Mus musculus: one gene and its partners. The protein of the gene in region 2 interacts with the protein of the main gene of each other region in a pairwise test. Links are inferred from orthologs where the notes say so. Each region holds a gene or a part of one and is shown on either strand. Other genes may lie near its edges.

Region 1 (3,647 bases), on a different chromosome or scaffold from region 2:
CTGACAAATATCTATCCCAAAGTCTATTCAACTTTGTATCTTATAGTCTTTTATTTTTTTCTGTCTTCTAAAGTTCCTTTATAGTCTTAATTATTATTTAGGCATTGATTAACAGTTTAGAGACTTGGTTTTCACTTTATACTAGACAAGTTTGAAACACACACACACACACACACACACACACACACACAGAGAGAGAGAGAGAGAGAGAGAGAGAGAGAGAGAGATTATTTTTTAATTAATTAATTAATTAATTTTTAATTGGGTATTTATTTCATTTACATTTCCAATGCTATCCCAAAAGTCCCCCACATGCTCCCCCACCCACTCCCACTTCTTGGCCCTGGCATTCCCCTGTACTGAGGCAGATAAAGTTTGCACGACCAATGGGCCAGAGAGAGAGATTCTTGAAACCTTATTCAACTTCCTGCTTTTCATAGACGTGGAGTGTTTCAGAAGCCTTTGCTGAACTACTGAAGGTTTCTGAACAGCCCAGCATACAGTTTTCACATGGACAGGAATAGTCTTAAGTAGATCTAATATCAGGAGCTACATTGGTACACATTTTTTGAGGGACTAGAGGTCTTCATTCATCTGCTTTTTCCTAGAACTAGAGGAAGTACTCAGGACACGGGGGTCTATAAAGCAATTGCTCTTCCATCCGGATTTATCAGCAGCGAAAGACAAAACAACCCAGTTGTAGCAGAAAGGAAGCATGATGTAGATGTAAACTGGCTGTGCTTGGCTTCATAGATCAAATGGAGGCAGAACAGTCTCTTTCTACATTGTCAACCAAAGCCACAGGAGAACAGAGTAAAGAGAACTAACACAGGATGCCTTTTGGAGGACTTGGCAACCTGTACCTTTTTTTTTTTTTTAAATAGACTCACATTCTCAGTTATGGTTTTCTGAGCACACTAGCTGTCCAAGCAATGAGAAACAGGTGGGCAGGAGAGAATGTGACTCATACTTCCGTTTGGGGAACCCATTTGTGGGTTATAAAGCACTGACAGGAAAACTTGGCCAAGCAGCTAGAATTCTGAGGAGAGAGGTGCTTTCTAAGCACAGCAGCATCCTAAAACATTCAGCCATTCTCAGAGGAAATTTGGGATATTGAGACTGGAAGGTATAATTGGTTCCATAAACCTTTTATAAGCACATGTTCTGGTTTGTAGCTGTTTTCCCCATATAAGTTAGATAGCTTTATAATAAGCTTCCGATTCTTTACAGAGACAGATCATAAGAACCAGAGAAGAACTTTCTGAGCATCTATTTTGACCTCCCTTCTGTGAGCATTTTCATAAAAGTTTCCGGGGTTACACAATTTAAGACATTAGCACTTGGAGGTTCACAGAGTCACACTGTCTCAGTGTCATTTGCATTGAACTGATTTCAAGTCAAGTACAGTCCTCTCTGCCACTAAGATAAGTCAGCTTACAAAAAATAAAAGTTTTATTTGATTCAGTGTTCAAAGGTTTCAGTCCATAATAAACTGGCTTGGGCCTGTGATAGTACATCGTGGCAGAAACACTCAGCAGACTAAAATTGCTGTTAGTGGCTAGAGAGTGAGGGAAAACGGAGCAAGAAACAGAAGTTTTAATCCAAGACTAAATTTTCCCGGGAGGTAGCAACTTTTAAAATTTTCACCATCTCCCAGTAGCATCTCCATGCAAACCTTCTGGAGTACATTCTAGATCCAAGCTATGGGCATGGATTATCTTGCTTAAATGTATTCTAAGTTATAATTTTCATGACCTTCTTATAGCTAGTCCATGGGTGCTAGCTTGGTTAACCCTCCTAACTTTATTTGTGCAAGTGAAAACTTGGGCCAGAGAATATGTCCTTCCTCTCTTGAGTTCTTTGAAGTTGGGTGTGCTTTCTTGTAGGGACTGCTGGTTGAATTCAACTCACAATAGACTCTTCTCTGTATTGTAGGAGACACAGCAAACTCCCCAAATTTGGAAAACATGGACCTCGACGAGTCGTCCTTGTTTGGAAATCTGCTGGGGCCGAGTCCAGCCCTCCTGGACCGGCATCGACTGTCCAGTGAGAGCAGTTGTAAGAGTTGGCTGAGCTCCCTCACAGTGGACAGTGAGGACGGCTACCGGAGCAGTATGTCTGAGGACTCCATCCGGGGTGCCTTCAGCCGGCAGACCAGCACCGACGATGAGTGCTTTCACTCTAAGGATGGAGACGAGATTCTGCGGAATGCTTCTTCCAGGAGAAACCGGAGCATCAGTGTCACTAGTAGTGGGTCCTTTTCTCCCTTGTGGGAGAGCAATTACTCAAGCGTGTTTGGGACCCTGCCCCGGAAAAGCAGACGGGGTAGTGTCCGGAAACAAATTTTGAAATTCATCCCTGGCCTTCATCGTGCAGTGGAAGAGGAAGAGAGTCGCTTTTGATGGGCTGCTGCAGACCTTTTGAATTGGCTTGTTTCACAATCCTCTCTCTACCCGCCAAGATGAACCCCTGGCTTAGTGGGAAAGTACAGATAGACTGTGAAGCTCACATCCCATCTCACAGCAGCAGTGACCTTTAAGTTCTTATATTGTTATTTTTGGGGTCTTATATCAGAGGTTTGTTTTTGTTCGTTTGTTTGTTTCAATCAGTAGTGTTCAACTTCTAAACAGACATCACAAGAGGAAAGTAATAGGTTAAATAATGTAATAATATGTCTGCTCATTCTAATGCTGGCCAGGAAAGTACAAAAATATTTATTATACTGACCATGCATGTAAAAAGTGGAGAATTCTTAGATCAAGTAAGAATATAGACCGACAGAATATAATTATTGGGTTGCTTTTAATATGTTAATTTGATAGACTACAAAACCTCCTATTTGCTTCATTTACTCTGTAGCCTCTGGGAGCTTGCCCAAGAGAGAATTAAAATTGTTTTCAAACCATTAAAGGATCATAAAACATAGCATCATACGCATCTTCTCACTTCAGCAGTGACAGTGAGGCGGGAGAGATGCCTAGTATTGGTGCAGAGGAGAGCTCTTGGTGCTGGGATCCTATGCCACTCCCCACTCCATCTCTAAACAGAGTGAGTGAGACTCTCATTATTTTCGCCCATTTCAATTTTTATTTTCTGCCTGAACATTCATGCCAAGGCCAGAAATCTCAGGATCAAATCTATAGATCTGTGATTGTATTTTCTGCAAATGTCTAAAATTCTAAAAATGAGAATGGGGAAGGAACATTTCTTCTGTATGTTTATCTCCTGCTACACCTCATTAAACATTCCACATAGGTATCACCTCAGCTCGAAGTTCCTTGTTAGCTGTGCTTGTATTGTACTCTCACCTGTCAATCATGCTCTATGTTATTTCAACATCCATTAAACTCTGTTCTGGTGATACAGCTGTTCATTACCTGTATGCTCAAGTAAATAACCATGTGATAAAGACTTAGGTTGATTCCAAGCACACTCTCTCCCTCCACCCTTTCGGGGTGTGTGTGTGTGTGTGTGTGTGTGTGTGTGTGTGTATGTGTTTGTGTGTCTTCAACAGAGCTGATACATTTAAGTGAATTTCTAGTTGGTCTATAGAAAGCAATTTTGATTTTTAAAAAAGTGAAGTAAAGTCTGTAGGATAATAAGTAGTAAAATTTATCTAAGTGGGACCTGCTGCCTATAAACTCTTT
Region 2 (4,121 bases):
CACAAGGAAAGACCTGACTCTCCTTCCTCCCCATGTGGTTGGCCTGGCCCCTTCATGCCCTGCAGAAGCCCAGAGATTCCCACAACCCTCTACAGGCAGTGATTTGCAGAGAGAGGGAGCTGTGGGGGTAGAAGGCTGGTTCTGGGGCTGCATGGGGGATTTCAAGTCTTTGTTTCAATCAGGAAGACCCGTCCCAAAACTTCCCAGTGTCTCTTTTGCTGTATTTGTAGGTTTTTGTTTTGTTTTGTTTTGTTTTGTTTTTGAGGTGGAGTTTCACTATATTGTCCTCCTGCCTCAGTTTCCTGGGACGCTAGACTAACAACAGGTATGCCACAGGCAAGCACCACTACCCCAGGCCTTTCTGGGGTAAGAAGGGTTTGTGCATGCTGTGGTGGAGGACATCCTGGACAGGGACCTACCACCCAGAGATGCCCCAGCCCATATAAGACCCTCTGAGTCTGGGAATTAGTTTTCTCCTTTCCCCTGGTCTCTGGGATGCAATCTAGGGTCTCTCACATTGCTAGGCAAGTGCTCTGTCATTGAGCTGCAATGCACTCCCTGCTGGTCACTTGGCTAGAGTTCACAGGACAGGGTGTTCCCTAAGGGCCTTTTCAGATCATTGGTTGGTGCTTCCACTGATTAATTCTGCAGAGACCTCCTACCGCATAAATGCTCTCACCTCCACAGAAGCAGCCCCTGGCCACAACTGCAAAGGGGGATCAACCGGTCCTCCCGAAGAAAGCAGCAGAGCCTGTAAATTGAGGCTACTAATTTGGAAGTTATGTCCTCCTGTGCAACTTGGCGCCGGTAGGAAGTATAAGTAACGAACACAGATGAGTTTAGGTAATTTCCTCCTCGACGTGTTGGTGTCCGAGGCGGATACAGCTAGGGCCACCTTACCCTTCGGGTTATACCCGTGACCTTGAGTATGTTTAACCAGCCGAGTGGCTGGACGCTGGCCCTGGCTAGTAAACCACGCCCGCGGCCTACGCACGCTTGTGAAACTTGAAACCCGAAACTGCCCTGCCCCGAGGAGAGGGGGCGGTACCTAAGGAGAGAGGGCGTGACTTGGGGGCGGAGTCATAGATAGGCAGAGCCTAGGTGCCGCGCTTGCGTAAACGCAAACTAAAGAGGTCCTCAAGGGGACGGGGCCTAGAGGGCGTTCACGCACGCGCGTTTTGGCTGTGGGCGGGACCTTGTGCCGGGGGCGGTGCCTCGGGCGGCGCGTGCGCAGGCGCGTGCTGGGCAGTGCGGGCGCGGTGCGGGGGGCGGGGCTCCGCGGCTCGGAGCTGGCCTGTGGCGAGCTGGTGTCTGGCAGGACGCGGGCTGCGGGAGGTCAGTGGCGGTCGCGGGCCGGAGCCGGTCGCCAGCACCATGGAGGACGATGACAGCTATGGTGAGTGGGGCCGGTCCGCTGCCCCTTCGTGAGCTTCCGCCTGCGCCGGTGTCCCTGGGACGGGACGCGGAGCGCCGGGTGGCGGCAGTGCGAGGGCCCGGGGGTGACTGCCCAGACGCTCGAGGGCCTGAGGGTCGCCGGGGCTGAGGGTCGCCTGGACCTTTGGGTCGCCGTGAACTGAGAGTCACCCGGGCCTGAGGGTCGCTGGGAACTGAGTGTCACTCGAGCCTGAGGGTTGCCGGGGCTGTGGGTCACCCAGGCCTGGAGGGTCACGGCAGGGGTCGCCCGAACCTGAGGGCGCCGACGGAGACGGGTGTAAAACCGGGAATTGCTTTCGGGCTCCAGGACCGAGGTTACTCGGGCCTGGGGGTCGCTGGGGCTGAGGTTTGCGAGTCTAGGGGCCCCGGAAGGGGAGTCGCCGGGGTTAGAGGGTCTCCGCGGCGGGGGTTAACCGGAGCGCTGAGGGTCATGAGGATGCTGAGGAGCCCCGGGGTGCCGAGGGGAGTCAGGGCCAGGTGACCGGGGTCGTAGTCTTTAAGACGAGTCGCCTGCTGCTTGTCACCGGGGTGGCAGACGCCGCGAGCGGCCGCGGGACTAACACGCCCGGCCGGCCTGTGTTCCCTAGTAGTTTCCGGCTCTCAGGGGTGTTAGAAGTTATGTGCCCCATCCAGCTCTTTGTTCTGAGATGAACACAAGTGGCCTGACCGGGGCCTCTGAGCCGGGGACGTCGGTCAGGTTCGTGCTACCGTCGCATTGTGAATTAGCTCCTGGTCCCCTGGTCTGTCAGTCAGGGCCTGACCACACCGGGCAAGGGGATCAAGTTTGAGCTGTTGCCTGAAGGTAGCCGGGTAATGACACCAGTCCACATCCTCCACCAGGGCAGAAGCGATTTAGACTCTCCTGGCTAACCTTGCTGCTTGTTGGCGAACAGCCAGGGCTCTGGTCCCTCCGAGGGTGTGCAGTCTCTGGAGTTGTAGAAGGTTATTTGAAATGCTTTACGTGGTTGTTAGCATTGTTTCCAGGAGGAATGGAAGAAGGAATGGCAGGTAGGGCGAGTGGTGACCTTTTACTGGTTTGGCAGGGAAGTATGGCTCAGGAACTTAACAAGCTTATACGGCTTAGTGGAGCCAAACTCCGGTGTGTTGCCTCACAGGTAACTTTGCCTCCTCACACTCTGGTGAGGAATATTAAAGTACCAAGAGGGAAGAGTGTTAGGGCTTTGCAGGGGAGCCCTTAGAGAACCCTGACCCGGTGAAGCCATGAGGATTATGGCTAACAACTCCCAGAGCTTCAGATGTGTGAACACTGACTGTTTCCTTGAATGTTAGAGGTCTGTGCCTTCCTGTTCAGTGGAAGAAGCCGGCTTTTGCTACCTTCCAGGTAAACATGGTGTGTGCCTTCCTTTGTGATAGAAAAGCAGTCACCTGCAGGCAGGCCCCGAGGGATTGCTCGGCCCCCTTGGACCCTCAGGGTTTTTTTCTTCGGTTGGAAACCTTCACTGGCTTTCCCCACTGCTCTTTTCTCTCCCCCTTGTCCTTTGTTGTCCCCTGGGTGCCAGGGTTCTGCCAAGCTTTGTTCTTACCCTCCCCTGGTTATTGCCCGCTGGGTGAGGCAAGAGCTGCTGTTCTGGTTGGTTTAATAGTGACTTCTTTGACTCAGGCATGACTTGTACTAGGGAAGGAAAAATGGAAGGCTTTGGTTCCTGTTACTGCCAGGAATAGAGGGACTCAAACCCAAATTTACTCTGTAGATCTGGAGGTGAGAGTCCAAATTAGGTCACACTGGGCTGATACCAAGATTTTGTTAGGGTAGTGTTCCTGCCAGAGACTGGAGGGAAAAGTCGGCCTCCTTTCCTTTCCTAGCTCCAGAGGATGCTTCGCTTCCCTTGGAATCCATCCTTAAAGCCAGTGGATAGCATCTCTCCACTTTGTCTAATTGCTGCCCTTTCACAGGACACTTGTGTGTCACACCTACCTAGATAACTCAGGATAAGGATCGTAGTAGCCATCCACAAACCCAGCTTCCCTTTTGCCATGTGAGTAAACACTTTTAAAGACTTGAGGATTGTGATGTTCACATCTTTAACTTTTTAAAATTTTATTTATTTATTTATTTATTTATTTATTGCGCGTGGAGGTTATGAGACAGGAGTGGGTTCTCTGCTTCCACTCTGCCAGTCCTGGGATGAAACTTAGGTTGCTAGACTTAACACCAAGCGCTTTTGAACCCACTGGGACATCTCATCATCCCAGATGTGGGCATTCGTGCAAGCTTTCAAGAGAGCGGCATGGGAGGATGAAAAGGAAGCTCATTGCCCCCTTTATACACTTTTACGTCTTTTTACTTGGGAGGATCTAGAGGGGTTAAATACAAGAGAACTCCTCGAGTATCATATAGTATAAAATGGCCATGTGGAGACTGAGACCAGCTTTCCTTCTCTTTCTCCCTCTCTCCTTCCCTCTTTCCTTCTTTCCTTCCTTCCCTTCTTCTCCTTGTCTCCTCTCTTCTCCCCCTTCTCTTGATCTCCTCTTTCCATTTTGAGTTAGGGGAGCATCTCCCTATGATTCCATGGGTCTGGCCTCAAACTGGTAGGTTTAAGTGATCTTCCTGCCTCGGCCTTCTGAGTAGCTGGCACTGTGTTGATTCTGTGTCTGACTGAGCCTCCCAGTTTGAGTATCAGACTATAGAGAGAATGTACTTGTTCCAGTCTCCACATGTTAAGAGG
Region 3 (3,647 bases), on a different chromosome or scaffold from region 2:
CAGAGGATGTCGTCACTGCCTGGTGTCCCCAGTGTACACTAGAGCTGAATCAGAGGACACATTGGGATGGAGACACCAAGGGATATTCTACACTGGTGGCTCCTCTCACCCTAAAATGACAAGGACAGGAAGAGGAAGAAGGCTGGGAAGTTTCTGGAAGTAAGGTGTGTAAAGCGGCCTCCTGTGTGATCTGAGACTACACCAGTGAGGAAAAATGTGAAAATCTGGCACATTGGGTTGGGCCTGTTGGGTTGATATGTCCAATCTCCCAAGCTCGATAACAGGATCAAACTCAGCACCTGTGAAAACACACACACACACACACACACACACACACACACACACACACACAAAATGATGGTCAGGGTTGACTATCAACCTGACAGGATCAGAAATCACCCCGCCTCTGGGCACACTGGTGAGGAATCTTACTGATTAGGCTCACTGAATCAGGAAGAGCGCCCCCGTGTGGGCACACTGGTGAGTAATTGATTAGGTTCACTGAATCAGGAAGAGCTCCTCTGTGGATTAGGTGGGTTTAGGTCCTGGACTGAATGGTGTTAAGCAAAGCAGTCGAACATGAACATTCAGCACTTTGCTTCGTGACTGTGGATAAGAAGTGACCAGCTGCCCACACCCCCGCCGCCTTGACTTCCCCCACCATGACAGACTGTAGTGAACCCTGCCTTCCTTAAGTTGCTCTCCTCAGGGTATTTTTATGATAGCAACAGAAAAGTAACTAAGACAGTACAATTTTTTATCAAAACACATTTACTGGGTTTTGTAAGCTAATAACCTATTCCTAAAAGACCTATGGAGAAAGATGCACAGGGGCTGGCTGGCTGTAGCTTCCGCCAGGAAGGATTAGGTAACTGAGAAGAAAGAGTAATGGGTGCACTTCCTTGCGTGGTCAGCAGCTTGGGGACCCCAGGAGAAGGCTGTGATAAGATTTAGTCCCGGGCTGGAGAGAGATGGCTCAGCTGTTAAGAGAACTGACTGCTCTCCCGAAAGTCCTGAGTTCAAATCCCACAACCACGTGGTGGCTCATGACCAATCCTATCCATAATGAGATTTAGTCCCAGGGGAGGAGCCTTCTATAGGAGGAGGGGCAAGCTGTCCCGAGGACTGTGATTCAAAGATGAAGAGTCTCTGCCATGCCTGACCGGGGGCCTTTGCCTCCCTCTGCTCTTGACTTATATCGTGAAATGTGACTGTCCCTCCCTATGTACCTGGGGTCAACTTGGGTTACCATGGTATATTTATATCCCATTTGGAAACTTCTTTACTGAGCCATTTCTGCTATGTACTAAGGAGATCCTCCTAGTGACCCTGGCTTCAGAGAAGCAAAGGTTCCTACCTAGGCCAGTGGGAAGGAAGGGCAGCTTAGACTCTGTCAGGTGACCCACGCAGCTCTTACCAGCTTCTGGCACCAGGAACAGCCAGGCCCCGACTGGATACAGTCCCGGCAACTGCTGACTTTGTACTTGGTGCATTCCTGGGACACAGCTGGGGAGACAGACAGGGCTGACTGAGGGCCCCACATCCACCCCGACTGACTGTCTTCATGAATGAATGGGGTGCAGAGATGGACGGGGCACTGGGGAGGGTACAGGCTAGTGCCTGTGGCCTTACTGGGGTCTGGGAAGGGCTCTGAGTCACCCCAATGGAATTCAAAGCAAAGCTCTAGAGGTCAGACCCCCCGCCTCCTGTTACAAGGCAACCAAAGCCATCATCCATGCCTGAGACTCTACTCTCAAAGGCTGGTCCTTCCTCAACCACCTGGGGACGTATGCCCAAGGGGACATATGCCCAAGGAGACGTGAGGTGGGCCCACTGTCAAGGAATGTCACGTGTAGGGGCAGCTCCGCAGAACTCACCAGATCCCAGGAAGAACAGTCCAGCTAGGGCAAGCAGCAGTGAGTGTGGGCCCAGCATGTCCTGTGGAGAGAAGGAGCAGGTGACTCCAGGCTGATCACCTGAGGAGTGAGGTCCTCCTTGCTGGCCTGCTGCCATAGGGTATGAGAATCAGCCAGGGCCAGCACAGATGTCACCCAGCTACCTCAGGGAGGGATATGGGGGCCTGAATACTGACTGGCTCAGGTGGTCAAGTACCTGGAAGAACAGGCAGCCAGCCTCTGTGGGGATTCCACAGGTATGCACACACATATATAGGGAGTTGGGGGAAGGGATAGATAGATAGATAGATAGATAGATAGATGTGATAGAGATAGATAGATAGATAGATAGATAGATAGATAGACAGGCAGACAGACAGACAAATAGACAGACAGACAGACAGACAGACAGACAGACATGCCACACAGGCAGGCCCATTTCCATCCCACAAGTGCATTGGCCCGCGCTGCTCAGGGCTATGGCACCTGTACATTCAAAGACCACAGTAAGCTTAGATCCCCAGACCTGGTTGACCCAGACAGCAGAACCGGGCCCAGGCAGAGCCATGAACTTGGAGTTCTTGTCGGGGCAGGACTGAGCTGGCTCACAGAGACTGCAAGTCTCTGGTTGTCTCAGGCACTCTTTGAAGCACCAATTTTATTCTTGCTCTAGAGGGGCTACAGCTGGGGACATTGGAGTTCCTGTCCCAGACAGGGGACAATAGGCTTCCTGGAGCTCACTCAAAGTCTGGACAACCCTACTGCTGGCCACCTGATGCCCTGTTTCCGTAGCTACTGCACCATGTCTTGCTTACAATCAATGGCATTGCCAGCCTTGAAATAATGGGAAGTTGGGGGTAGGGGCTAGGTGGGTCTGGGCGTGCTGAGAGGCCTGGGTTGTGACCTTCTTCCTTACAGCTGGGCACTGGTAAATACAGATTCTCCCAGATCCTTGCTGCCACCCTCCTTCCCCGGAAGTAGCCAGAGTGGCCAGCACTCAGCCCACAGAGGCCTAGAATATTCTGAGTGGGGTGCCTCCTGGGTCTGACTTCCTATGACATGAGAAACTGTGGCAGGCAGGCAGAAAGAGATGCCAGCACCAGAGGCTGTGTTAACAGAAACAAAATCAACTTCCCCAAGCCGTGACCAGCTCCTCTGCAGGGCAGGGCTGAGCTACTACATAGGCTGAGTGGAGATGGGGACTGGGGTGTCAGGCCACTGCTTTCAGGATGACTCTTAGTGCTGTGTTGTGGCCTCAGAATACTGGTGGCCCCTGACACCATCTTTGCTTCCTGAAGCCCAACGTCCACACTGAGGCTCTGTGGTAGATATGACACCATTCTAGGGCTACCCCAACCTGTGGGTACGGGCTCCATGTAGCCTCATTTCTGACCCTTCTAAAAGTGGCCTGTGACCTCAGAAAGATAACCTCTAGAGCCCAGAGATTTTGTCTATTTTATTTTACATTTTAGTTTTTCTGAGACAAAATTTCCCTGTATAGCTCTCACTGTCATGGAAATCGCTCTGTAGGCCAGGCTGACCTCAAATTTACAGAGCTCCATTGCCTCTGCCTCTGGAGTACTGGGATTAAAGTCACGTGCACCATGCCCATCAAAGACCCAGAGGTTTTAAATGAAGCCCACTTCTCCTCCCCACTTAAGGGAAGACAGGATGTCCTCCCCAGCTTTCTGAATTAACAGACTATATAGCAAGGCAGGGTGGAGGATTTGGGCCACTGGAACCCATCTTAGC

The links.
Region 1: the proteins of Cyth1 (region 2) and Cytip interact in binary tests that used the Homo sapiens proteins (3 or more experiments, as listed by UniProt). The link is inferred for Mus musculus from reciprocal best matches to the Homo sapiens genes CYTH1 and CYTIP.
Region 3: the proteins of Cyth1 (region 2) and Itgb2 interact in a two-hybrid assay, tested with the Homo sapiens proteins (2 studies listed by BioGRID). The link is inferred for Mus musculus from reciprocal best matches to the Homo sapiens genes CYTH1 and ITGB2.

Annotation. Positions count from the first base shown.
Region 1 is NC_000068.7:58,132,482-58,136,128, reverse strand, and holds part of Cytip (cytohesin-interacting protein), read left to right. Parts: intron 1-1,935; coding exon 1,936-2,402; 3' UTR 2,403-3,647. UniProt on the Homo sapiens protein: By its binding to cytohesin-1 (CYTH1), it modifies activation of ARFs by CYTH1 and its precise function may be to sequester CYTH1 in the cytoplasm.
Region 2 is NC_000077.6:118,245,714-118,249,834, reverse strand, and holds the start of Cyth1 (cytohesin-1), read left to right. Parts: upstream 1-1,276; 5' UTR 1,277-1,374; coding exon 1,375-1,396; intron 1,397-4,121. UniProt on the Homo sapiens protein: Promotes guanine-nucleotide exchange on ARF1, ARF5 and ARF6. Promotes the activation of ARF factors through replacement of GDP with GTP.
Region 3 is NC_000076.6:77,540,257-77,543,903, reverse strand, and holds part of Itgb2 (integrin beta-2 isoform 1 precursor), read right to left. Parts: intron 1,939-3,647; 5' UTR 1,936-1,938; coding exon 1,878-1,935; intron 1,507-1,877; coding exon 1,418-1,506; exon of another isoform or gene 1,358-1,417; intron 1-1,357.